Linked DNA regions of Rattus norvegicus. The main gene of each other region encodes a partner of the protein of the gene in region 5 in a complex. Links are inferred from orthologs where the notes say so. Each region holds a gene or a part of one and is shown on either strand. Other genes may lie near its edges. The genes, in order: Arid2, Dpf3, Actb, Pbrm1, Smarcb1, Dpf1 and Phf10.

What was found.
Region 1: Smarcb1 (region 5) and Arid2 share a complex: the UniProt entries of both Homo sapiens proteins name them as parts of the SWI/SNF-B (PBAF) chromatin remodeling complex. The link is inferred for Rattus norvegicus from reciprocal best matches to the Homo sapiens genes SMARCB1 and ARID2.
Region 2: Smarcb1 (region 5) and Dpf3 share a complex: the UniProt entries of both Homo sapiens proteins name them as parts of the BAF complex. The link is inferred for Rattus norvegicus from reciprocal best matches to the Homo sapiens genes SMARCB1 and DPF3.
Region 3: Smarcb1 (region 5) and Actb share a complex: the UniProt entries of both Homo sapiens proteins name them as parts of the BAF complex. The link is inferred for Rattus norvegicus from reciprocal best matches to the Homo sapiens genes SMARCB1 and ACTB.
Region 4: Smarcb1 (region 5) and Pbrm1 share a complex: the UniProt entries of both Homo sapiens proteins name them as parts of the SWI/SNF-B (PBAF) chromatin remodeling complex. The link is inferred for Rattus norvegicus from reciprocal best matches to the Homo sapiens genes SMARCB1 and PBRM1.
Region 6: Smarcb1 (region 5) and Dpf1 share a complex: the UniProt entries of both Homo sapiens proteins name them as parts of the neuron-specific chromatin remodeling complex. The link is inferred for Rattus norvegicus from reciprocal best matches to the Homo sapiens genes SMARCB1 and DPF1.
Region 7: Smarcb1 (region 5) and Phf10 share a complex: the UniProt entries of both Homo sapiens proteins name them as parts of the neural progenitors-specific chromatin remodeling complex. The link is inferred for Rattus norvegicus from reciprocal best matches to the Homo sapiens genes SMARCB1 and PHF10.

The regions. Positions count from the first base shown.
Region 1 is NC_086025.1:129,325,005-129,329,170, forward strand, and holds the start of Arid2 (AT-rich interactive domain-containing protein 2), read left to right. Parts: upstream 1-1,366; 5' UTR 1,367-1,625; coding exon 1,626-1,717; intron 1,718-1,823; coding exon 1,824-1,917; intron 1,918-2,983; coding exon 2,984-3,081; intron 3,082-4,166. UniProt on the Homo sapiens protein: Involved in transcriptional activation and repression of select genes by chromatin remodeling (alteration of DNA-nucleosome topology). Required for the stability of the SWI/SNF chromatin remodeling complex SWI/SNF-B (PBAF).
Region 2 is NC_086024.1:108,734,626-108,738,125, forward strand, and holds part of Dpf3 (zinc finger protein DPF3), read right to left. Parts: intron 1,711-3,500; coding exon 1,550-1,710; intron 1-1,549. UniProt on the Homo sapiens protein: Belongs to the neuron-specific chromatin remodeling complex (nBAF complex).
Region 3 is NC_086030.1:16,775,481-16,779,463, reverse strand, and holds the start of Actb (actin, cytoplasmic 1), read right to left. Parts: upstream 2,801-3,983; 5' UTR 2,729-2,800; intron 1,789-2,728; 5' UTR 1,783-1,788; coding exon 1,660-1,782; intron 1,573-1,659; coding exon 1,333-1,572; intron 867-1,332; coding exon 428-866; intron 338-427; coding exon 156-337; intron 32-155; coding exon 1-31. UniProt on the Homo sapiens protein: Actin is a highly conserved protein that polymerizes to produce filaments that form cross-linked networks in the cytoplasm of cells.
Region 4 is NC_086034.1:6,285,933-6,289,432, reverse strand, and holds part of Pbrm1 (polybromo 1), read right to left. Parts: coding exon 3,389-3,500; intron 2,113-3,388; coding exon 1,955-2,112; intron 1,402-1,954; coding exon 1,138-1,401; intron 1-1,137. UniProt on the Homo sapiens protein: Involved in transcriptional activation and repression of select genes by chromatin remodeling (alteration of DNA-nucleosome topology). Required for the stability of the SWI/SNF chromatin remodeling complex SWI/SNF-B (PBAF).
Region 5 is NC_086038.1:12,743,948-12,747,447, reverse strand, and holds part of Smarcb1 (SWI/SNF-related matrix-associated actin-dependent regulator of chromatin subfamily B member 1), read right to left. Parts: intron 2,363-3,500; coding exon 2,251-2,362; coding exon of another isoform or gene 2,224-2,250; intron 661-2,223; coding exon 531-660; intron 1-530.
Region 6 is NC_086019.1:93,740,342-93,743,841, reverse strand, and holds the end of Dpf1 (zinc finger protein neuro-d4), read right to left. Parts: intron 2,454-3,500; coding exon 2,341-2,453; intron 1,859-2,340; coding exon of another isoform or gene 1,829-1,858; coding exon 1,747-1,828; intron 1,598-1,746; coding exon 1,527-1,597; 3' UTR 417-1,526; downstream 1-416. UniProt on the Homo sapiens protein: May have an important role in developing neurons by participating in regulation of cell survival, possibly as a neurospecific transcription factor. Belongs to the neuron-specific chromatin remodeling complex (nBAF complex).
Region 7 is NC_086019.1:64,628,316-64,631,758, forward strand, and holds part of Phf10 (PHD finger protein 10), read right to left. Parts: intron 2,731-3,443; coding exon 2,575-2,730; intron 1-2,574. UniProt on the Homo sapiens protein: Involved in transcription activity regulation by chromatin remodeling. Belongs to the neural progenitors-specific chromatin remodeling complex (npBAF complex) and is required for the proliferation of neural progenitors.

The DNA.
Region 1 (4,166 bases), on a different chromosome or scaffold from region 5:
TGGGAATCCTAATACACCAAAGGGGAAGCATGATGCTCAACCTTTGTAAACCGGGGAGGGTTCCAACACCCGGTCGATACAAATTTAAGTGGTGCTTTTATTCTAGAATAAAAATTTTTATTTCCCTATTTACACATTTAAAAAAAAAGAATCAACACAGAAAACTGAAGGGGTGAAAACATTTTGCCCTCTTTCAGATACGAGTGCAAAAAAAAAAAAAAACCCTCCATAAGCAATGTTATTCTCAAAGTTGGGAGGTTATTTCCCCAACAGGCGCGATGACCGTTTGCATACCTCCTGTTGGGTGCACCAAACCGACCAAAAACGGGAGGACGACTTAAAAGCCTTACTCTATCTCCACTAAAGTAGGGCAGGCAGTTCCCAGCCTATTTGATCCCACAGTTTGTCAAAGTGAGTTTACGGCCCCATCATGGACCATGTGCTCATCGGGCTTCCTTCAAGCATGAAGCCCAGAGGCCGACGCCTCCTGCTAGAAACGTCTCCAGAGGGGGCGAGCGGACTTCTCCGCGACCGCCCGGGCTGCGCCGCCGTGCGAGCCTCCGTGTGGCGGGAGGCCCGGCGGGCGTCCGCCGGGGGACGCGAACATCGCCTCCACCCCTAACCCCGGAACAACCGGTAGTGGCCGTTTCCCCGCGCCGCCCCCCTTTCCGCCCGCTTTGTGTGCGTGTGAAATGTGCTGCACATTGCAGATGAACCCTAAGCCGGGCGAGCCGAGTCTATTGTTCCCCGCGAGGAGCCGCCGCGACCGTGTGGAGCCAGGCGCAGTGCCGCGGCCGGCCCTCGGGGGGCGCTGTGCGGCGCTGGCGGCCCGGCCGTGGCGGCGGCTGAGAAGCAAGGCTGGCGGGCAGGCAGGCCGGCGGGCGGGCGGCGCGCAGCGGCTCGGCTGCCGCCGGAGCCTGTGCCCGGGGACTCCCGGGCCGCCGCCGCCGCCGCCGCGCGTGAATGTGTGCGAGGGCCCCGCGGAGCCGCGGCCCGGATCCACGCTGTCACCCCGCTCTCCACAAGCCACCACACAGACCTCCCCCTCCCCACGCGGCCCCGCCTGCCCCGGCCCCGCCGCGCCGCCGCCGCCGCCGCCGCCGAAACTCCCAGGCCTGCGGCCGCCCGGGCCCCTCGCCTCCGCTCGCCCGGCCCCCGGCCGGCTCGTGCGCCCCCGGCCGCAGCACCATGTTGAATCGCGTCCCCGGGCCGAGCCGCCAGGGCCGGCGGCGCTGAGAGGCGGCCAGAGCCGGGCCGCGGGAGGCGGCGAGGCAGGGTGGGGGCCGCGTTCGCCCCGCGGCTCCGCGCCCGGCCGCCCGTCGCCTGCCCCTCTAGTTTCGCTCCCGTTTCTTTAAACTTTTTTAGAAATTCCCCTCCCTCCGGCCCTGCGCTCCCCCTGGCCTCCCGCTCCCTCCTTCCCCTCCTCCTCGCCTCCTCCCCCTCCCTCCTCCCTCCCTGCGCCGCCGCCGCCGCCGCCGCCGCCGCCGCCGCCACCGCCGGCCCATGACTGAGCCCCGCCACCGCCGGCCGAGGAATGGGCTCCGGGCGCTGGTAGGGAGCGCGGGGAGCGGGGGCCGCGTTTGAACCGCGATCTGGGTTTTCGGGAGACCTCCTTTGGCAAAATAATGGCAAACTCGACGGGGAAGGCGCCTCCGGACGAGCGGAGGAAGGGACTGGCTTTCCTGGACGAGCTGCGGCAGTTCCACCACAGCAGAGGGTGAGAGCAGGACCGGGGGGGCAGCACCGGGGCGAGCCGGGGCGAACGGGGCCCGCGGCGGGCGCGGGGTCCCGGTGACAAGTGCGGGGCTTTCTGTCGCCCGCAGGTCGCCGTTTAAGAAGATCCCTGCGGTGGGTGGGAAGGAGCTGGATCTTCACGGGCTCTACACCAGAGTCACTACTTTAGGCGGATTCGCGAAGGTGAGTGGAAGTTTTAATTTGTATTTCCCTCTCGCTGGCCTGCTCGGAAAAGTCTGCTCCGGCCCGGGAGCCGGCGCCCGGGGCCGGGGGGGCGGTCGGCCGGGCACACGGCGTTCTCGGCGCTCGCAGCCGGTGGCACGGAGGCGGCCGGCGGCGGGGCTGTTTTCGGCCTGGTGGCTCGCGTGCGCGCGGCGGGCGCGGGGCTGGGCGGGCGGTGCGGCCCGGCGGCGGGGAGCGCCCTGCCCGGTGTCCGGCCGGCCCCGCGGGGTCTGAGCGGCGCGGCGGGGAGCGCGGGCGAGCAGAGTGCTCGCCCGCCCGCCGAGCCCCGCGCCCGCCCGCCCCGCGCCCGCCCGCGAGTCAGCGCCGCCGCCGCCGCCGCCGCCGCTGCCGCTCTAGCACAGGCGGAGACACAGAGACACACAGACTCTGAGCAGTTTTCGTGCAACTCAAAATTAGCGCGGGCAGGTTTAACATCGATAATCGGCTGCGAAATGATCCCGGCGGCCGGGGGCACAGCCTCGGCCCGCTCGCCCTGGCTTTCTACAGCTAACAAAAGAAAGCAGGACCTGTCTGCAAATAGCCATCTTAGGCTTCAAGGCTAGGCAGAAGCTGTAGGCCTCAAAGAAGGGCCTATGGAGATGGATAGATCTGGGAGAGGGATCGGAGTCGGCCCCGGCCCCGGCCCCCCCAGAGCCCGCGGACGTCGCTGTCCGGAGCAGTATTGATCCTTTTGAACTTTTTTTTTCTTTAGTGTAAACGGACCGCGTTGAGGTTTAAAAGGGGGCGACAGAGGGACTTGCGATTGGTTATTGTCCGGGCTTCAAAAACAAAACAAACCCACCAACCCCCCCAAAAACAAAACAAGTGCTGCTAAATACAGGGTTTTCTGGTGAAAACACAGTGATTCAAGCAGCCCTGGCTTGGTAACTCTTGTGGCTCGACCCCAGACACCCACTGATCCTTAGGTACCCACAGATCTCTGCAGAAGGGTCATTTAGCTTCCAAGTTAGGGTAGGTTTTTCTTGGATTGGGCACTTTCAGACAAGTGTGCCTGTGTTTTTAACAGGTTTCTGAGAAGAATCAGTGGGGAGAAATTGTTGAAGAGTTCAACTTTCCCAGAAGTTGTTCTAACGCTGCCTTTGCTTTAAAACAGTATTACTTGCGGTGAGTAGTGGCGTCTTTCCCCAGTATTTGCAAACGAGGGACTTCGGGGCAATTAAACAACAAAATCTAAGCTCTAGACAGTTTCCAATCCCTTGTTAATTTCACTCTGAGAAGCATTTGCTGTCAATAAACTGAGATGGTAGGAGTCTGAAGTTTTCCTCAGGTTAAAAATACAGTCGTTTATATTTTTCATACAAAGCCATTACAGGTGACAATCCATATCCTATCTTGTAAACATTCTTTTGTGACATTGTTATTGACTGCTGGGTAGCCACTGAGGGCCAGAAAAGAAGGTGCTTAGTGAAAGACTTGGGATACTTAAGGAAACTTTGTAACCTGTGGGAAGATTTTTTCCCCCCTTCTTTATTTGGAAACCCCTTAACCGCCTACAATTTCATGGGTTTTTATTTTATTTTATTTTTTGTTTGTTTATTTGTTTGTTTAAAGAAAACTTACTGCATGGAACTGTTACTCTGCGTTTAATGGGATATTTTTTCATAAATAATTCAATGTAGATACCTTGGCTGATCAGAATTAACTTTTTGAACTCCTTTGTTATTTATTGAACTTTTGAGCGACTTAAAATTATCCAGTATCTTTAGGAATACGGGGATGGTTTGAGACCAGGTATTATAGTTGGAATTTTCTTTCATTTCCTTATATTTTGACTGCTTACTCCAGAAAGTCAATTTCTTGTTTATACGATCCAGTTAGATAATGTATTTTGTGACTTAGTGGTTTCTTCTTAGATTTTCTCCTATACTTTCATGCTGTACTTTATTTTGAAGGAAACTTTTATTTTTCTTTGATTACCACAGTAACCTTAATTATTTAAAATGAAAATAATGATCTTAATATTTCTAATGAATGTTGGTAATGGTGACATTACAAGATAGCCTGTTTTATATTTGCAATGTAGCTTCTGCATAATTTTAGTTTCATATTGCTTTAAATGCACTAGTCACTCTGTATAGCGCTTAGGATTCTGAAATAGGAAACAGGGTAATTGCACAGGTGGACTTCCTATTGGCTGCCTTAGATTGACTTCAGACTTCTTGCTGAAGAGTTCACAGAACTTGGCAGTT
Region 2 (3,500 bases), on a different chromosome or scaffold from region 5:
CTGTATCCCAGGCTAGCCTCAAACTTGCAATCCTCTTGTCCCAGCCTCCTAACGACTGTAATTACAGGCATGTCCCGGGGCACCCAATGGTTTTGACATATTAAGTCCAGAGTATTTATATGTGAAATGATGCATTGTCCCAGATCTACTTCAAAATCATCCAGAGTCGGGAGAAAGGTGACGACGAGACAGTTGCCTGCTGTGGAGCTTGGCTGTGAGGAATCTGAGTTTTCTTTGCCATTATCTGAGTTTTACATAAATATAAAACTCTTCAAAACAACAGAAAAGAGTTGTTTATTATACTCATATAGAGGCAGGAGTGGCAGCATAGGCCTACAGATCCCAGCCCAAGAGGCAGAGGTGAGAGGATCAGGAGGAGTTCAAGGTCATCACTGGCTCCATATAAAGTTTGAGATCAGCCTGGGGTAAATGTGAGACCCTACCAAAACTAAAGGAGAAGTTTTACAAAGATGGCTTGGTCAGCAATGTGCTTACTATGGAAGCGTAGACCCTAGTTCAATCCCTAGAGCCCATGTAAATGGACACACTTTTAATCCCAGTGCTGGGGAGGGAAAAACGGGCAGATCCCTGGGGCTCGCTGGTCAGACAGCCAAGCTGAATCAGCAAGCACCCGGTAAAAGTGAAAACCCTGTCTCAAAAAACAAGATGAAGAACAATGAATTAAGGGAGACACTTGCATGCACATGTATAACACACACACACACACAGAAACAAGTACATACACATACATGTGTATGCATACCCACGTGCATACACACACATACATGCATCCCATGCACACATGGAAACAGGTATATACACGTATATGTACATGCATGCACATGTGTGCACATACACACACACACACACAGACTCATGCACCCCATGCCTACATGGAAACAGGTATAAACACATACATATACACACACAGAGATTCATGCATGTACCCCATGCAGACATGGGAAGAGGTCTAAACACATACATGTACACACACACACAAATTTAAACATAAATAAATATGACCACAGAAAAGTGCGTCCCTAGAGCTAGCTGTCTCCCTAACCTACACCATTGGGTTTTTATTCTATTCTTAGAAGCCTAGAAGATTAGATCACAGTCATGACAACAATAATATCCAGCATTTTAGAGCATATAATATGTTGAGTTGTTTATAGATATTTTCATTTAATCCTGATAAACTCCATGTAGTAAATACTAAGATTATCCGCACTTCACAGATGATGAGCCTCAGGGACAGAGTTCTGATGACAAAACTAAGCCTCACCCACAGCTGAACACATTTACAGATTCTAGCCAACACCCAAGGATGGGAAAAGAAGGCTGCGTTCATTGGACTTCTTTGAGATAAATACCTCGCATCGTCTTTGTCTGGTCTCTTGGATAAACTGTATGCATAGCTAAATTTCTCCACTGTGAGTATAGCTTTTCTAACTCCCAACCCAGCCCAGCTGTGTGGACTCCCAAACACAAGAGTACTCCGTCCTCCAAGCTGGAGCCACTGTGCATGCAGGGAGTTGCAATGACTTACCTGGGCCTCGGTGCCTCTTCTCCATCCAGATGTAGCAGTTGTTCTGAGCCACCCCAGTCTGCGAGTCCAGGAAGGGGAGCCTCACGCTCCGCTCTGCACACAGCCTCGAGTTGTAGCTCCGACAGTGCTCAATGGCTTCCTTGTAGAACTGGTCCCCAAGCCTACAGGAGACAAGAGAGCAACAGAGTGAAACCAAAGGAAGTAGAAACACAACCAGAGGGAAGAGGTCCCCTACCCTCTCTCCAGGAAGAAACTGCATTTCTGGCAATCATGCCAATGAACACCAAGAGCCCCATCAAGGGACAAAATACAAATTGTCACCAAATCTCTACCAGATTCCATTTCCTGTCCCAAATCTACCAGGTCACTTAGAGATCCTTTTAAAGTGGGCCCCAAAGAACAAACTGCCAGTAAGGGTGACCCGGCCTTGTCCTAAGATGCTAAGATGTCCCTGAGGTGGCACATTCTGTAGCAATATTCTGCTTCAGACTTAGAGAGAATATCCAGCTGCCAGACTCCCCTCTTTAAGCATTCCCCCACACTTTGTTCTCATAAGTTGAAAAGTACAACCAGATTCCCATTACGACAGAGAATTTAGAATAAAGCATTTATGATAAAGACTACATGAGCAGAGGAGATGCCCCATGGAGATACAGCCATCGTTGTGAGAAGTGTGTAAGGAAGGACACGTGTAGATCTTCTAGGCCCACAGTTTAAGATAAATAGCTTTCTCTGGCCAAAAAACAAGCAAAAGTGGTATTTAAAATAAGGTGTGACACCCCCCCACACCGGAAATTGCTGAGGGATGGAAAGGGAAGTCACTGTGTCTTTAATTGTATGCCTACCAACGTGAGTCCACTAGGCCTCAGTGCAGAGCCCCACACCCATGGTCACGCAGCCGTGGTTAAATACAGTAGGTCACAAATCAAAGAGACATGATTATGAGACAGGAACTTGTATATGGAAGGTTGATGTGGGTAAGCAAGCTATAAGACAGGTGGTAGTGGGTAAGAGAAATTAGAGAATGTGTTCTGTGTATAAAACTGTCAACAAATAACAGTGAGGCCAGAAAGAAGGCACAGATATTAAGGGCACTCACTGCTCTTATGGAGGACCTGAGTTTGGTTCCTTGCATCTAGGTCAGGTGCTCAAACCACCTGTAACTCCAGCTCCAAGGGACTGAATGTCCTCTTCTGGTCTCTACAGGCAAGCACATGTATGTGGCATAAACACACAGATACACACACACACACACACACACACACACACACACACACACATTTTAACTAAAAAATTAATATAATGATGATGACGATGACGACGACGATAAAACAAGTCAATGCCCAAAGTTGAAGCCAAAAATAAAAGTCTATCCTGATTTGCAGGCTGGTGATTTGATTTAAACAGTTAATTTTATGTCTGTGAATCTTTGGTATTCTTGGACAAGTGATGGTGTTTCTCTCTAAACATAATGTCAAGGCAAAAAAAAAAAAAAACCCACAAAACTTTAACAAGGATATAATTGAGCAGATAAAACAATGAGAGAAAATACCCAACATATAAAACACAGGGCCATCCGAGACAAAAGCTAATAAAGAAACCCAAATACAACCCAAGCCCGGGCTAGTGAACTTGAGCCTTGTGGATGGAAAGGCATGGAGGCAGGAAGGGGAGGGACATGGAGGCAGGAAGGGGAGGGTCATGGACAGGGAGGCAGGAAGGGGAGGGTCATGGACAGGGAAGCGAGGAAGGGGAGGGACACGGAGGCAGGAAAGGGGAGGAGCCACAGAGATTTGTGAGGGCAAATTGGATAACTAAATCATTTGAAGCAACATTAAAATATCTTCCCCAACAGAAATCCATTTCCTCTGGCCAGTCCTTTCTGCCCAGAGGTTGTACAGCTACCAAAACACACCCCTACCTTGGGACCAAGTGTCCAAACTCAGGGACC
Region 3 (3,983 bases), on a different chromosome or scaffold from region 5:
CAGAGTACTTGCGCTCAGGAGGAGCAATGATCTGAAGAAAGCAAGACAGTGATTGTGAGCATTCTGGATGCTGGGTTGTTCCTTAAGCCAAGAGAGTTGGCTACAACTACAGGGCTGACCACACCCCACTATGGGTCCAGGCTAAGGCTGCTTACCTTGATCTTCATGGTGCTAGGAGCCAGGGCAGTAATCTCCTTCTGCATCCTGTCAGCAATGCCTGGGTACATGGTGGTGCCACCAGACAGCACTGTGTTGGCATAGAGGTCTTTACGGATGTCAACGTCACACTTCATGATGGAATTGAATGTAGTTTCATGGATGCCACAGGATTCCATACCTGAAAGGAAAAGCAAGAGAGATCAGACTTACAGTGTGGCCTCCAGCATTGGTCACCTTTAGATGGAGAAGGGATGAGACTACAACTTACCCAGGAAGGAAGGCTGGAAGAGAGCCTCGGGGCATCGGAACCGCTCATTGCCGATAGTGATGACCTGACCGTCAGGCAGCTCATAGCTCTTCTCCAGGGAGGAAGAGGATGCGGCAGTGGCCATCTCTTGCTCGAAGTCTAGGGCAACATAGCACAGCTTCTCTTTAATGTCACGCACGATTTCCCTCTCAGCTGTGGTGGTGAAGCTGTAGCCACGCTCGGTCAGGATCTTCATGAGGTAGTCTGTCAGGTCCCGGCCAGCCAGGTCCAGACGCAGGATGGCATGAGGGAGCGCGTAACCCTCATAGATGGGCACAGTGTGGGTGACCCCGTCTCCGGAGTCCATCACAATGCCAGTGGTACGACCAGAGGCATACAGGGACAACACAGCCTGGATGGCTACGTACATGGCTGGGGTGTTGAAGGTCTCAAACATGATCTGTAGAGAAAGGAATACAGTATTGTCAAGCTCCTAAAGCCACAAGAAACACTCAGGGCAGGTGAGACTGTAAGGATAGATTTGAGTGAGACATGCAAAGAGGGCAAGAACACAGCTAAGTTAAGTGTGCTGGGAGTATCAGGACAGGGGCTCCATTTAGACCTACTGTGCATCTACTGAATACACACTCCAAGGCCATTTATCACCAGCCTCATTAGCTTTGTCACACGAGCCATTGTTAGTACCTACACCCACAGCACTGTAGGGGTTTAAAACACCTAGTCAGAAAGGCGATCGAGAGAAAAAAAAGACCTCATCTGGGAAAGAGCAGAAACTGCAAAGTTCCAAGGGAGACTCAGCTCATAGAAGAGAGTCCTATGGGAGAATGGCAGAAGAAAGACAATTGAGAAAGGGCGTGGCTGAGAAGTTGGCCCAATAGAGGGGAGGGGTCACCCAGGATACTGACCTGGGTCATCTTTTCACGGTTGGCCTTAGGGTTCAGAGGGGCCTCGGTGAGCAGCACAGGGTGCTCCTCAGGGGCCACACGCAGCTCATTGTAGAAAGTGTGGTGCCAAATCTTCTCCATATCGTCCCAGTTGGTGACAATGCCGTGTTCAATGGGGTACTTCAGGGTCAGGATGCCTCTCTTGCTCTGGGCCTCGTCGCCCACGTAGGAGTCCTTCTGACCCATACCCACCATCACACCCTGCGGAGGAGAACAACGTTCTCAGCACTGGCATCGACCCCCAAGAAAACCCTAGGGCTGCCACTCCCAAAGTAAAGGGTCACTTACCTGGTGCCTAGGGCGGCCCACGATGGAGGGGAAGACGGCCCGGGGAGCATCGTCGCCCGCGAAGCCGGCCTTGCACATGCCGGAGCCGTTGTCGACGACGAGCGCAGCGATATCGTCATCCATGGCGAACTATCAAGGCACAAAAGAGGGCTATGGTCACCGCGGAGCCGCCAAGAGCAGCCGCTGCCGCCCTGCCCACTTCCGGCAAGCCGCGGCCTCGAGCCGCCAGGGGGCGCGCGCCCAAGCTCAGGGGACAAAGGAAGCGCAGGACAGCCGCATTATTACCATAAAAGGCAAACGCTGGCCCGGAGGCGGACCCACGGCAGGAAGCCAGGCCTCCGCCCCCTCCCCAAACGGGCACAGGCCCCGCCTACACTGAGGCGACGGGCGGCTAGTGCGCGCGCGGGAGGCGACCACACCCAGCAGGAAGCGCGAGCAGGCGCCCTAGCCGCTACGACCCCGCCCCTTCCGGGCAACGGCCCCGCCCTCGCCCAACCCGGGGCGGCCGCGCTCCTAGTCTCAATACGCACGCGCAACTCTTAACTCGGAAGAGGGGGAGAGGAAGAGTTCCCTCCCCAGCGCGCACGCGCCCCAATGCCCAGTGATAGAGCGCGCACGCGCAATGGCATCCCAGCCCCCACCCGGCCGAGCCGGCCCCGCCGCGCCCGCCAAGCCGAATGGGCAAAACCGGTTTGGACAAAGACCCATAGGCCATCAAAGCGTGATTGTAACGCCTGACTCCCAATACTGTGTCCCCTCAAGGTGGACAGATGCGGCTTAACACCCGCAAGCCGCACCGGCTCTCCAAATGCCCACACCGCGACTCTAGTGTGTCCCCAAGCCCCGCGCACCAAGCAGGAGCGTGCCCACGAGTGTCTACACCGCGGGAATACGACTGCAAACACTCTACACCCTAGGCGGAAAGTTAAGCTTTGCCAGTGTCCGCTCCGCGGCCCGGTACCACGCTCCACCCCTCTACGGTGTCCCTTCTGAGTGTTCCTCACGATCCTGCAGCGAGGTAGTGGCCAAGGTAAAGTTGGGGCCCGCTGGGCCCGACGTCCCTGCTTACCTGGTGGCGGGTGTGGACCGGCGACGGAGGAGCTGCAAGAAGGTTGTACTCGCGGGTGGACGCGGACTCGACAGTGGCTGCGCGTTGCGCCGCCGGGTTTTATAGGACGCCACAGCGGCCACTCGAGCCATAAAAGGCAACTTTCGGAACGGCGGGCGCTGATTGGCTCCGCGTCGCTCACTCACCGGCCTCGCCGCACAGTGCAGCATTTTTTTACCCCCTCTCCCCTCCTTTTGCAAAAAAAAAAAAAAAAAAAAAAAAAGAAGAAAAAAAAGCGAGCGAGAGAGAAAGCGAGATTGAGGAAGAGGATGAAGAGTTTGGCGATGGGTGCTGGTTCCGTAGGCCCAGATGGACAAGAATAGCCCCCGCCCTTGTGGACACTATCCCATTCAGTGACTCGGTTACTAGGCCTGTATTCTGGGGGTCACCCACCCACCCCAGGACCCTCTGGGTGTGGATGTCACGGGAATAATGATCACCTAAGTGGGCGAGGGTCAGCTTGAAGGCCCGGACCCTATTTGAGTGGCCTTTTGTTTGAGGGACACACGGGGTCTGGATTGAATGGGCAGAGAGTCACTCCCCCTTGCTAGCAATAGTCAGGAAAGCCAGATCTGGGGGCCTTCTGCTGCAGTTCTAATTTGCTAGGTGTGTTGGGGTACAACTTGGAAGCAGAGCTGTGGTTGGGAAGGTCTTCAGGGATCTTGACCACTCAAGGCCAGAGTCCCAAGGATAGGGCAAGCCCCGGTGGTCCAGTGACTGGAGGTGTTTGTTGCAGGAAGATGCCTCCAGATATCCTCTGCCCCGGACCTAGAAAGGAACTGTGCTCAATCGAACAAGCAAAACTTCTCATGGAGTCCGGCACTTTTGGAGGGCTGCCTGATCACACCCAGGCAAGACTAAGCCTGGGCCGTTAGCTAGTGGCTCTGGGTGACTGCCAGGCATCGTTGGGCTGGAGCCCACCATCTAGCCTCTATGTATTATGTGCAGCCACAGCTGAACTGTACACTGAACTGTTCATCTGCTGGCCACGGGGACTCTGGGAGTGACAAACTACTCAGGGAAGTGCTGGTGGTCACCAGAGCCCCAAATCCTCCAGAGAGAAGAACCCCCTGCTCTCCTCACCTAAGTAGGAGAGTTCTGCTCAGGAAGCTAGCCATTTGGCTGATAGCTACAGCAGGGGATCAGAGTTGAGGGTCGGGTCCCTCAGCTTAGCTTAGAAGGACGCACAACTCCTGGGAGAGAGTGACAGAAAGCT
Region 4 (3,500 bases), on a different chromosome or scaffold from region 5:
CCATTTCCTCAGCTACCTTTTTGATCCCAGCACTCAGGAGGTAGAGGCAGGCAGATCTCTGTGAGTTCAAGGCCAGCCTGGTCTATACAGTAAGGTCCAGACAGCCAAGGCTACACAGATAAACTGTCTTGAAAAACCAAACCAAACCAAACCAAACCAGACCAAACCAGACCAAACCATTTCCTGGATTTTTGTATTGATATTCATCCTTGAGATCAGGGCAGTCTTCTGTTGACTTCTGTAGTGTGTGGAATATAAATATAGTTTGCTTGGGCTTTATACAATGAACTAAGAAGGGTTTTTGTTTCCACACTATCAAATAGTTTAAACAGCATTTTTTTTTTGGGACAGAGTTTCTCTGGGTAGTCCTGGCTGTCCTAGAACTTGCAGTGTAGACCAGGCTGGCCCTAAGCTCAGATCTAGCTGCCTCTGATGCCTGGATTAAAGGCATGTGCCACCATGCAGTTTTTAATTATAGCAACCACATGAACAGTTAAAAAGAATTTACTTACTCGGTCCTCACTGGACCACCTCACTGATCTCCTAGATTTACGTTATGTTTATGAGTATTTTGCCTGCATGTATGTATGTGCACCAACTGTCTGCCTGGTGCCTGCAAAAGTCAGATGCCTTGGAATTAGAATTAGAGGTAAGCTCCATGTGGGTGCTGGGATCAAATCTGGGGCCTCTGGAAGAGCAGCCAGTGCTGCTAAGACATTTCTCTATCCTCCATCCTCAGTTTACTTTTTAAGATTTATTCATTTATTATATATAAGTACACTGTAGCTGTCTTCAGACACACCAGAAGAGGGCATCGGATCTCTTTACAGATGGTTGTGAGCCACCATGTGGTTGCTGGGAATTGAACTCATGACCTCTGGAAGAGCAGTCAGGTGCTCTTAACTGCTGAGCCATCTCTCCAGCCTCAGTTTACTTTTAAATACTACTTTAAATTAACTTTTTTCTTCTTTTTCTTTTCCCTTATGTTCTTCCACTTTGACCAAGGTTTTATACCCTCAATCTTGTTTTTCTTTTTTGTTTGTTTGTTTTTGTTTTGAATTTGAATACATCAATTCACTTTCTGGAATAGATATTTTAAGGTTAAAATTCTTGTGTAGGTGGCTACTACTCATGTACCTTTTCCAAGTTAAAGCTGTCTTCAGCCCGATTGTCATCTGAGTTGTCTGTACTCTTCTCCTCATCCCCTTTGTCTGCATTTGCAAATACAGAGGCCACTCGGACCACAGGCAAGGGCACGTCCCGAGGGACGAACCTAACTGAACTGATGGGCATGGTCCACAGTTTAATCTTCTTAAAAGACTTGGTTTTGGCAGAATACCTTGATTCACAGACAAAAACATCCTCATCGCGGAAGGTTTCTGGACATAATTTAAAGTATTCCTGGGATGGGAAGAATAATACAAATAAGTAAATTTTTTGAAAATTAACTCAAAAATAAAAAAACCCAAATGTTAATCAATCTAACATTGAACTATAAAAACTTCCCGACAATAAAAAGTAAATGGCCAGATAAGTAGGTATCTCCTTGGCTATGTTCCCTTTAATTATAAGTTTTATTTACTTAGTCAACTGCCCTTTGAAAATATATTACTTTCATATAGTTAAAATGTCTTAAAGCTCTGTACAGGTCTCATATGCATATATGACAGATAATGCATTTTATTATCTAGAAGCAAGACTGGAATTTGGTAATGATTACCTTTCAGAAAATATCATCCTTGGAAATTAGCCCAGTAACATAAAAATGTTAATACTATTTGTATATAGATAAACTGAACACAGCAAATGGTCTCTAAGTATATTCATGTTAATTTCTTATATATAGACACAGAATAAAGAGTTTGAAGTACTTTCTAATATTGTAAATACAGATTTTTATATTTTTAAATTGTATTTCCAGGGAATGATATCGTTGAATCAATGAGTTTCTTACCTTGACAAACATGACCACACATTTGCCTAGAATTTTACTAACAGGGACTTTATTGTAATAGTCACTCTTAAAAACTTCTTTTTCTAGAAATTTTCGTGTAGCCAAATGGAATGTTTCATTTGGCCGATAGAACCAACAGCCGTATAGCCATTTTTCACCTCAAAAACAAAGAAAGGAAAAAAAATTATTAACAGAAACCACATATTCTTTGCAAAACTAGGAAGTATTTTATCAAGCCATTATGCCAAGGCTGGTTTTAGATGAAAATTTCTTAATAGAATTATTTTAGAGGAAATAATATTTTAAAACAAAGAAGCACAAAGAGGCCTAAAAAACCTCATTTCACCCTTCAGAGACATGCAACAGAGGAGGAGGTGAGAAGGGCTGCTCTGTGCTTCACTGAGCATGCAAGGAAAGGGAAGGACATTTTTAGCAAAAAGGTGACAGAATCCAAAAGCATTCACCTGACTGGCAGCTTAAAGAACTAGACTGCCTGCATTACACTCGTACTTCTTGTTGGCTTCATTCTTAACGCCTCAGAGGCAACTTTCTTCTTACATTTCTTTTAGATTTCTGTTGAGACAGGTTCACTGTAGCCTAGACTGGCCTCAAGCTCATTCTCCTGCCTCACCGTCTTGAGTTTTGGGATGGCAGGCATATGCCGCCAAACCAGCTTACAGGCATTTCTAAAGGAAGGCTTCTGGCAATAAATTCTAAGCTCAGTTACACATTTGTGACATTCACTGGAGAAAATCTGCTAGAAAAGAACACGAGTCTTGCTCTTCTGATCTCTGCCATCCTACACAGAGCTTGGCTCTAAGTAAATTACAGAATAAATTACTGCATAAGTGACTCTTCCCACCCATTAAGAAGTTACATTTCTGACTCAATCGTGACAGTGCCCAAAACTGCAAGATCCCACGTTTGCATATGGTTAGGTGGTTAATTATATTTATTGACACATTGAACATTAAATTTATTGATGTAATTATTGTTGAAAGGCTTAAATAGGAGTTAAAAAATTTTCTTCTTGATGATCAAGGAAAAAGAATTTAAACAAATGTACATGTGGGGCTGGAGAGATGGCTCAGTGGTTAAGAGCACTGACTGCTCTTCCAGAGGTCCTGAGTTCAATTCCCAGCAACCACACGGTGGCTCACAGCCATCTGTAATGGGATCCTATGTGACAGTGTACTCATATAAAATAAGTAATTCTTTAAAAAACAAAAAACGCCTGCACGTATGTGTATCATGTGTGTGCCATGTGAGGGCATCAGAGCGCCTGGAACTAGAGTTAGGGGTGGTCGTGAGCCATGACGTAGGGACTGAGAACTGCAGCCAGGTCCTTGGCAAGAGAACGTGCAAGAGCGGCACGTTCTCTTAGCCACTGAGCCATCTTTCTAGCACCTGTCCTTCAGTGCAAATCAAACTTACCAGCTGAATCTTCCCATAGTCTCTCAATACAGACTATATGTGGTTGTAGATTGGCCTCTGCAGGTTCAACATAGACATAATCTCCGACGTGATACATACTATTCTTAAAGCT
Region 5 (3,500 bases):
GCCTGGGCTACATGAGATGCTTCTCAAAAAAGTTCTTTTAAAGTTCCACATATACACATATCCATACATACATACACATTCATACACTATACACTACATACATACATACATACACATTCATATACTATACACTACATACATACACATTCATACACTATACACTACATACATACATACATACATACACATTCATACACTATACACTATATACATACATACCTACATACATACATTTAAATCTATTGTTTCTTTTGGGAATTTATCTAAGTCACCATTGGTTTTTTTTGATAAATGAATCCCAATTTTGGAATATTACATTTCAGAACCCAAGTCTTGGCCCGTTTCTTCAGAATTCCAAAGATACAGAAGAAACTTAGAAGCCCAGGTCAGGCAATTATGAACTCAGCGAGGAAAGGGTTGAAGGGCAGTTCAGCTCAGCTCAGTTCAGCTCACTTTAGCCTGCTCTTGAGGGTGGGAACGCCCGCCTGCCCGCGCATGTCCCCGGAGCACACTAGGATTAGAAGACGTACCTGAGGTAGGTTGGGGGCTCTGTGCTGATGGACACAGCCTTGTACTTCTCGTCATTGCCGTCCAGAATCTCTTCCACCTCTGAGGCTTTCAGTAGCGTCACGCTGGTGGCCAGGGTGGTGTATCCATGGTCTGTAAGCAGAGAAGCCCCAGTGCGGTCACACTGCTGCAGTGTGATGGCTGCCAACCATCGATACAGCACATGAGGTCCTCACATGCAGGAGGCGGGAAGCGAGGTGTCAAACTCTACTGCTGAGTGCCAGCCTCTTCCAAAAGGGCGAGCAGCCTGAGGCTTGGCCTAGACATTAGAGAGGAGGAAGCCTCGGCAGGATGGATTTGAGGAATTCACCTCCTAAGAGCATTGGCTCGGAGGCAGAGATGTCCGGGGCAGCTGCAGCTCAGGGGCTGCCAGGAAGCTGCCGGACAACACCCCAGTGGGAAGAGGTCTGACACTGCCACAATCTAAACACAAAGCAAGGACGAGACAGATGAAAGATGACGACTTTTCTTTTAAAACAAGAGCCCAGAGAGTTGGAAAGAAGTGTTCGCCTCAAGCAGGAGTTACCATGCCTGAGCCAGTGCAGATGTGCTGTCTGGAAACCAAGACAGACTTCATCCAACGTGAGTCCAGCTCTTCTAGGGGCCTTTGTCAAGAGCTGCCAGTTATCTGCAGGACCTGCTCAGCTTCACAGGAGGAATCTCTCAACCACAGGGAGGGAAGGAAGGAAGGAGCACAGCAGAAAGACCAGTGCGACTTCATAGGAACTCAAGGAAGGGCAGGCAGAGCTAGGCAGGCACCATGCTAGTGACCGTCCTCCACTTGTGGCCCAAGGGATACAAACGAAACTGTTTTAGGCAACAGTGGGTCTGTTTTAGTAGTGAACAAAAGCAGCTCTGGCTCCTGCAGTAAAAGAACCCCAATTTACCACAACAGACAAAACTACATCAGCACCTACAGACGAGACAGACGACAGAGTGCTGGGGAGCACGCATGCTTGCATGCACGCACACATGCACCCAGGCCCAGGGCAGCTCTCTACAGGGTGCCTCTGCTGAGTGGAGAGCAGTTTTGCCACCTGCCAGATGGCATGCTGCAGCCACACCCAAGCCCATAATCTAGAGGCGCCAAGACTACGAAGAGCATGTGTCATGCTGAAGAGCTGCCACAGCCCAGAGCTTGCCCTAGGTTTGCTGGCATCAGATGGCTCACCTGGCAAGCCCCAGGCACAGGGCGGGCCACGGAATGGGTACATGCACGTGAGCTCAGCACGCCGGTTGTCAACATGAAGTAGTACAGACAGATGTGCTGTGGGAGGGAAGCGGTGACAGCCCCAGAGGAGAGAGGGCTGGGGCCACCGTCTACGGCCGCAAGGATGACTACAGCGACACACTCAGCAAATGGTAGCAAATCTCAGCATTCCTAAAACGTTTTGAGACCAACATGTCTTCACAGCACCTGCTACTGCCCTGGCCCAGCCCCTCACAGACCCGCTGGCCCAGCCAGGAACACACAACAGGGGAGTATGAGCCACTCTCTCCTGAGGCCCGTGTGCACTGGCAGGGTGGCCCGCCCCGGGATGCTCCCTACCGAACTGAGGTCAGGCTGCAATGAAGACACTGGAGTGAAAACGTTTTATCTCCGTGACATAAGCGAGTGGTTTTGAAACAGGTTTACAAACCCTCGTGAAGACGCACCCTTAGTGTTAGGTTTTGTTTTTTTACCATGTGACGATGCCACTATTTTCTTCCTTTCTTCCACAGTGGCTAGTCGCCGCCAGAGTGAGGGGTATCTCTTGTACAGAGAACCTCGGAACATACGCAGGTAGTTTCCCACCTATGGGTAAAGCAAGAAGGCTCATTATGAGGGTCGGGCTACCTACCACCATGCCGAGACAATGCCTCCAGACGCCGGGCTTTCAGGAGTCAGCAAACACATTCTGCTGACATCAAGGGTTCAACAGCAGTGCACATCTGGCTGGCATCTGTGTCTCCTGATCCCAGAGCTTAGTAAGAAGCTTATGATTTTGACCTGACTAGAGATGTTGGCACTTTTCTGAAATCTAAGACTCCTGTGACCTTCTTTCATCTTAAGAAGCGACTTTGATATTTTTACAAGGCAATAAACACCAAAAAGTTTTTAATTTTAGACAGATGTGAGATAATTTGTCCTGTTGCCTATGTTGCTTTGTTTAGTAATAAAACTCAAAACAGAGATGCCAAAGAATTTTCTAGAGTCTAAAAAAAGTACTGTATTAGTAATCCCTAGCCTAGCCTATAAATCACTACTTCCCCAGTAACAGCCTCAGTCTGTTTGTAGCAATACAGTAAGCACGGCCCCTGATTAGACGGAGGCCTATGACTGTTTTTAAGATGCTCTACGGTCTCACTGACTTCAGAAATGCTATCTTCAGAGTCACACTGTGGGGACAACCAATAGACGGGTGTGAGGTGTTCACTCTGGCAGTGAGTCTAGGCCTCTCTGTTCACCCATCGAGTGCTTAACGACCCTGACTTTTCCCCTAAGAGATTCTCACTATGCAGCCCTGGCTGGCCTGGAACTCACTATGTAGACAAGGCTGGCCTTGAACTCAGGATGGGCTGGCCTGCCTCTGCCCACTGAGTCCTGGGATTAAAGGTGTGCACGGCCACACCAGGCCCTCAAGTCTGGATTCTGCTTCAGAAAGGAACAGTTCTATTATTCTTTTCATCGTATCTACCTAGCATAGTGTACATTTATGAAGTGAAGGTAGTTTCTGCACTTTTCTTCCAGAAGAGATTTATGTAACCCACAGCTAGAGTGCTGAGACCAAGAGTCTATACGCAGAACAGCAAAGACTCCTGGCTGCTGTTTGGTTTGTGGGTCACTATCACCCAAAGGTAAAAGGATGGTTTCCATTCACTTTTAGAAAAAAGTTAGCGATATTGTCGATCTTTTTCCCTAGAGTCTCACTGCATAGCCCTGGCTGGCCTGG
Region 6 (3,500 bases), on a different chromosome or scaffold from region 5:
TGTTTTGAGACGTCCTCCTGTCCTCCACTTTTAGCCACACCCAGGACAGGGAATCCCAAGTGACAGCCAACCCGGCTGAGGTGCAATCTCCGAACCCTAGCCTGGGAGGGGGCTGCCTTCTGGTCTCTCCAGCCCTCCCTTCCCCCCAAGTCTTCACTCCCACCTCCCTCTTTGAGCTGCCTCCCGCTGCAGCTGCAGCAGCCCGTTGCTATGGCAACCACAGCTGGCTGGGTGGGAGCCCCTCCACCCCATCCCCCTCTTCTCTCCAGCAAGACAGGGAGGAGCTGGGACAAAGCCAGAGGGAGGCATGGTGTAGGGGCAAAGAGGTGGGGGCCAGCCACAGTGGCTTCTACCCCAGTGAGGCCCCTTGACTTCCCATGTTGGTGACACCCCAAGAGAGGTTAGAGATGGAAGCAGTTGTGGGCAGAGGGGTCCGGCCCAGTTTAATACACAGAACAAGTTAATTCACAGCAGAGGCAGGCAATAAAGGAGACTTGGTGGCAAGGGGGGTACTCCTGGGTTGGGGGGCAGACTCCCCCAGACCCTCCACCTCCCCCCACTTGCAGTCTCAATTTCCCTTTTTTAAAACCCGAACAACAAACACACACAACCACGAGAAACGACCACACCTCCTTGCCACCCCCAAAATGGCTAGCGATGGGGGGAAGGAGGCAGCCCAGCCTGGCTGGGTAGGGAAGGAAAGGGTTGAGAAGGGAGAAAGAAAGAAAAAAAAACAAAAACAAAAACAAAAAACAAAAAACAACTGAGTCCATTGCAATCTGTGCTTCTTCTCATTGCAGCGGGCTGGCTGCCTGCCTGCCTGCCTCACCCCACCGGCCTCCCCCAGCTGCAAGCCCCAGGTCTGGCAGGCACCGGGTGGGCGCAGGGCGGGGCTCTCAAAGGAGGGGCAGGAAGAGTTCAAAACCATGGTTCACATCATGCAGTATCCACGGTGGGTACCGGGAGGGGGCAGTGTGTGGGCACCATGCCCACCTGGCCTGGCTGTGAGGAAGGTGTGGTACCCACCTCAGATGGGAGTTGAGACAATTGCAACTCCAGAAATGGGGTGGGGAGGGGCCATTCAGGAAACTGGTAAAGTCAGGTCCCAGCAGACACTCAGTGGCCCCCCACCCAGCCAGGCTTAGAGGAATCTTTGTATATATTAATTTCTTTTTTTTTTTCCTTTTTTTTTTTTCACGTTTTGTCTTTTTCTTTAGAAAAAGGCTTTTTCCGTGCCACTGGCTGGCATCCACTACCCCTCTATGCCCGCCCAGAGGCGGGGTATGGCTTTGAGGGGAGCAGAAGCCTGGTGCCCACTTGTCAAGGAATGAAGATGGGGGACAGGAGGGACCCTGCTGGACCCACCCTCCCTCAGGGTAACATTCCACTTGCAGAGGGAGACCGCCTTGGCCCCTCTCTGGGCTTCACCCTATCCCTTCCACTGGGGACACCAGGCGGGAAAAGTCAGGAGCTCCAAGAGGCCGAGGATAGCACCACCCAAAGGTCCTGGAGAAGCAGAGCCAGGTCTAAGTCAGGGTGATGTAAGCGGAGGCCTTTTCTTTCAAGTGCCGGAGACAGAGGTGGCAACTCCAGCTCCCTGCGGGGGAAGCCAGTGAGACAAAATTAGACTCAAGCCGATGAAGAGCGCCCCCCCCACCTGTCCCCACCCAGAGCACATGGTCTCTGCCACCAAGAAGACAATGTTCCAACCCACCCACCCCGTGTCTCACCCATCTCTTCCCTCACCTTCCGGGGGCTCCGCCATGGGAGGGCTCAGGCAGTACATGTGGTAACCCCGATCGCAGTCGTCACAGAACAGCAGCTGGTCCTGGGGGGTGAGACCCGCCCAGCTGGCACCCTGGGGGCACGGGCACCAGAAACCGGGGTGGGGGGCTGGGGCAGGGGCTGGGTCCCAGGGGCCCTTATGAGAAAACTAACTGGCCTTGTCGCGGCTCACACAGTGTGGTCTGGATTCTGTAGCTACAGAACGCTGAACGATGTTCAACTAGCCAGAGACCAACTTGGGACCAATATATAGGTTCGAATGCTGGCCCTACGACCTTCTGAGCTTGGCGACCTCAGGCGTCATTCTCCCTCTCTGAGCTCAGTATCGTCTCTGTGTAGTGGGAACCAGAGCACCAGCCTCAAGGGAGGCTGGGAGGCATCAAGGGGAAGAATATGACAAAGGAACACTAGGGACGATGGTGACCGTAATGCATGCTAATGCTGGTCACCCAGGGGTTATGAACAAGGAAGGCTTTAGGCTTCACGAGCAAAGGTGGCAGAGCCAGGCCGGAAGGGAAGCTGGGGATGTGCCCGGGAGGTGGGGCGGGCACTCACGTCATTCTCCGAGGTGCCACACAGGCTGCAGGACTTGCATTCGATACACTGCCAGCGGTAGGTCCGCACGGCTGCGGTCATGTTCACCGTGAACTGTAAACACGAGGGATGTCCTGGGGGTTGAGGGGCAGGGAGGCCGTTAGCGGAGTCGTTGTACCTCTGGTGGCTACTGACACGTGGGGAGGTAATGGCTCTATCCTCAGCCCCGACCCAGAGGTCAAGGTGAGCTCTGCAGTGGGACCCTAACCCTGAGACCAACATCCGGAAGCTCGACTGTCGGGCAAGCAGCCGTGTGTTGGCCACCACAGTCTCCTACTCAGCCACCATGACAACCACACTCTGCTCCCCAGAACACCATGGCAACCACATTCCATTACCCACAGTGCTGTGGCAACCACGTTCTACCACCCACAACACCGCGGCCACCACAGTCTGTTAAGTATTGCGCTAGGCAGCCACATTCCAATACCCACAGCAGAGCGTCCAGCCCTCCTGTTAACCACAGCAACGTGGCAGCCGACCTCTGCCAACCAGGATGCTATGGCAACTGAGTTCCACAACAGGGTCCCCACACCTTGCTTCTCTGAAAACCAAAGGCCATCCCGCACCAGGCACCAGCAAACGAACTTCCTCTGACAACACTCGCGGTGTGAATCGGCTCAGCCATTCTCCCACGGCGCGAAGGCACCTGTAGCCACTGCCCACAGCACCCAACGGTTACAACTACATCTCTCAGAGCCAGACGCCAGTAGCCACAGCACTCTGCCCACAGCACATCACAGCCACAGTCCATCATCCACGCTGCTCAAGTGACCAGCCTTACTACCCAGGAGGCCTCCATGGAAAACCACACTGTATTAACCACAGTTCTACAGCACACAATCCTGCTATTCACAGCACCCAGGTGGTGCAATTGCTCCCACACCTCCGTCCCCTACCCACAATGCCTCCCTAGCTTCTCTCTACTCTCCTTGCCGGGAAAGCACAAAGCCAGGGCACCTTGTACTGTTGGTTCCCACTGTGCCAGCAAGCCTGCTCAGTCTGTCACAAACCCCTGCAGCAGAGGCAGCCCCTAGGACAGGCTAGGGACAGCCCCTTACTCGCCTGCCTCCCACTCCCTAAATTCAGATTCTGAGATGTCCTCCTCCCGCCTCCGATCT
Region 7 (3,443 bases), on a different chromosome or scaffold from region 5:
GCTATTCCTGCTGCACCCTAAGAACATGCTTTAACTGTGTCCTGGACATCAGTAAAAAAAGATGCTAGGAAATTCACTTCTAAGATTGAGTCTTAACTGCTATAATATGCAGCAGAACTTTCAATAACCTGTCCTAATGTAAAAGATAAACTTAGAGTTTAAGTTAGACACTAGCAGAGTAAGTCCTCTAATTAATCTTTTACTAAAGCCAGGGAAGAAACCACACAATATTAAATTTTGAAAAGAGAATTCCTCATAGGAGACTCTTTACAAAGCAACTCAAAAGGAATAAAACACAAATTAATTCACATTCTAGAGCAATTCAAGTTCTACAATCACTAAAGTACACATAATGCCTATAATAAAAGGAGACACTAAGAAACTTCTGGGTTTACCTTTAAAATTATACATAATGTTCTGATAAATCACTTCAATTTTTTTTCTTACCCAATAATCTTCATCTTGTTGAAAAATATAGGAGGATGGGAGAGGGGAAGAGGGATGGAAAGAAAGAAAGGTGATAGATGAGAGGGCAGCAGTGGAAGCGGGTGAGAGACCACTGTGGCATTTTCTACAGAGATGCTACAGTTCAACACACAAAAGCACACTGTTCGTGCAGCACCCAGGCTCTTACAGGCCACAGCCTGCATCCAGGGCCTCACAGACAGACTGAAGACCAGCACTGAAGGAGGGAGGAGGACCGCCCTGTGCCTCACTAAGACCCTCTGATCACCTTTGCACACTGCCACAGCCTTTTAGTTTCCTTCAGCATCTCAAATAAAAGGCTTGTGTATGCTTTTCTTGTTGAAAAAATAGCAAATAAGTTGAAACTTCATGGTAGCACTAACATAGTATAGATTTTAATTATGTATGTGTAGGCCTGAGCCTAACAGTTACACTTTAATTTCAGGTTAATGTAACCTAAGCAATACCGTCCTACAAGTTGAGGGCAAGCACCAGTCATCCTATTCTATCACATACATTATGTTTAACTCCCATATTCTAAAGTGTGTGTCAGCTTGAAGTACCCTAATATTTAGGCACATCTTGGCTCATTAATACTTTCCATACAGAGGTTAACTTTCAATAATTGTGTTCACATTAATATATAATATCTATATATTGGCTGTTCCTATCTTTGAAATCCCTGAAACATTTTTAGTTACTAAAAATGTTTACAGATTAGAAAATGTTTATTTTGCATATGAGGCTCCCTTGAGTACTATTAACTAAGATTAATCTATATGATTTACTCACTAGATCAGTGATAATATGGATAGTTCTTCAGTTCCAGCCTGTATTATATGTCTGTTTCAATATTCTCTGTTTATAATGCATGATAAAACAGGCTCCTTGTTTAAACTTCCTCAGCCCGACAACTGTCACTCCCACTGGCACCTCTAAGACAGTGACACATACTGGCTCCTGCCGGCTGCCTCTAAAATGTAATCTTTGGAGTATTTTTGGTTTCAGTTATTAAGCAGTGACTGAAATCTTTAGTTTAAAAAGCATAAATAAGCTAGCTATACATGTAGAAAAAAAAAATCACACAGCAGCCTACTGAAGCTGTCCTCAGAATGAGTCCTTGCTGAGTGAGCCATCAATTGTGTGGCTATGCCACAAAAGCATGTTCTAAGCGGACACTGTCAGAATGTGTTCCAGTAGGGCGGACAGACAGTGACTCAGCTCACTTCACTTTTCTTTCTCTGCAATGTGCCGCTGTCGCAATGCTACCACACAGGTGTTTAATAACTCGCTCGGCGCGACTCTTACTCACAGCCTTCCTTTAGTACACCTCCATATAGTGACCAGATGGATATTCTAAGGCAGCCAAGACCAGGAGTGTATGCTGTAGCATCACTGTCCATGTCACAAAGCTGAAGACTACGTCCATTCCTTCTATGACCCTCCTACATCTCCTTGCACCAATACAGCTGCTCACCTCTCATCTAACTTCTCAAGGGGAGAGGCAGACAGAAATGTTAAAAATAATTAGAGTTTCTTATAATCTATGGCCTTACTCCAAGAATGATCAGATCCACAAACTAGGTTTTAGTTCTTGTAACAGAATGGTATATCTGTCAAAGGTTATACAAAAACAATGATGTAATTAACAGCTCTTCCTATTTTCTGTCCAAAACTTGGCAGAATTTGGCAATTGGATCCAACAATCCTTAGAATAAGCCTGATATTGTCAATGAAAGGCACTACAAAAATACCACCTCGTGTGGTTGTAAATCCAGCCCTGCTTCACCAACTGTTCGGATATTCAGAATGCTAGACAATTATGCCCTGCACTCAAAAAAAGGTTCTGCCTTGAAAGAATGTTTTAAAAACTCCTATTTGTCTGGTTATTACTTAAAGGGATGAAGTAATAAATTGTTTATATACAGGAAATAGAAGCTATACCATGACCAAAAGTGACAAGAAAGCCACCAGAGAAAGAAAGCAGTGGACAGGTGCACAGGACAGGATGGCGGAGCGCAGCAAGCTCAGCTCCTCAGGCTCAGAGTTAACGGTATGAGGGAGAAGCTGGCCAGGAAAGAGGCCAAGTCAGGGGCTTTTTTCTTCTACCTTGTACCCAGGAACTGATTTGGACAGTACAGAACGTTTGGAGCCGTCTTTTCTTGGCGTGGCCATTTTGTCTTTTGATTTCTGTCTTCCCTGGAAGGTGTCCTCCTGGCTGTCAGGGGGGCTGTCTCCTTCAGACACATTGCCTGAGGAGCTGTCCTGTAGCAAACAAGTAAAAGCAAAGGTTCCTTGGGATCAGGACCCAGTTGAGTCTCAATTTTTTAAATGACAGAAAACATTTTTTAAGCTGAAAGTTTTTTTCCAATTAAAAATATAAAGATGATTTTAAGAATTTCATTTCTAAATAGAGTAAGAAAAGCCATGTTAAATTATTTACCCATCTAATAATTATTTCTATTAGCAAGTATCCTAGTCAACTACTACACTTTCTGATGTAAGTCATCAAAAACAGAATTACCAACTCAACTATGATTACATTACAGCTCCAATATTTTCATACCACACGGATCCATAGTTTTATATTTATAGAAATACTTATTTTTCCTGAGTGATGGAAGTTATTGCAAAAGTCCTTCAAATACATAACCATGTTCAAACATAAAAGATCCAAAGCCATATCCCTAGCTATCCACGGCAGTATGACATACTATATTTGTTCAAGGAACAAGACCCCAGTATCTGACTATTTAATTCATTTTATAATCCAAGGCTTGCTGACAACTTTATATTCAAATAAATTATAAAAAGTGAATGAAAAAATTAAGTTATCCATATCCACCTGATAAGCATCCTGAAATGACTGGGCCCATGAGCATGTCTCCTTCTGGTTTCTCTGTGTGTTTATGTTCTGCAGAGCCCAGGCTCTCTCATACATACATACCACATATCCTCCTAATGCAGTTTCATTCTGG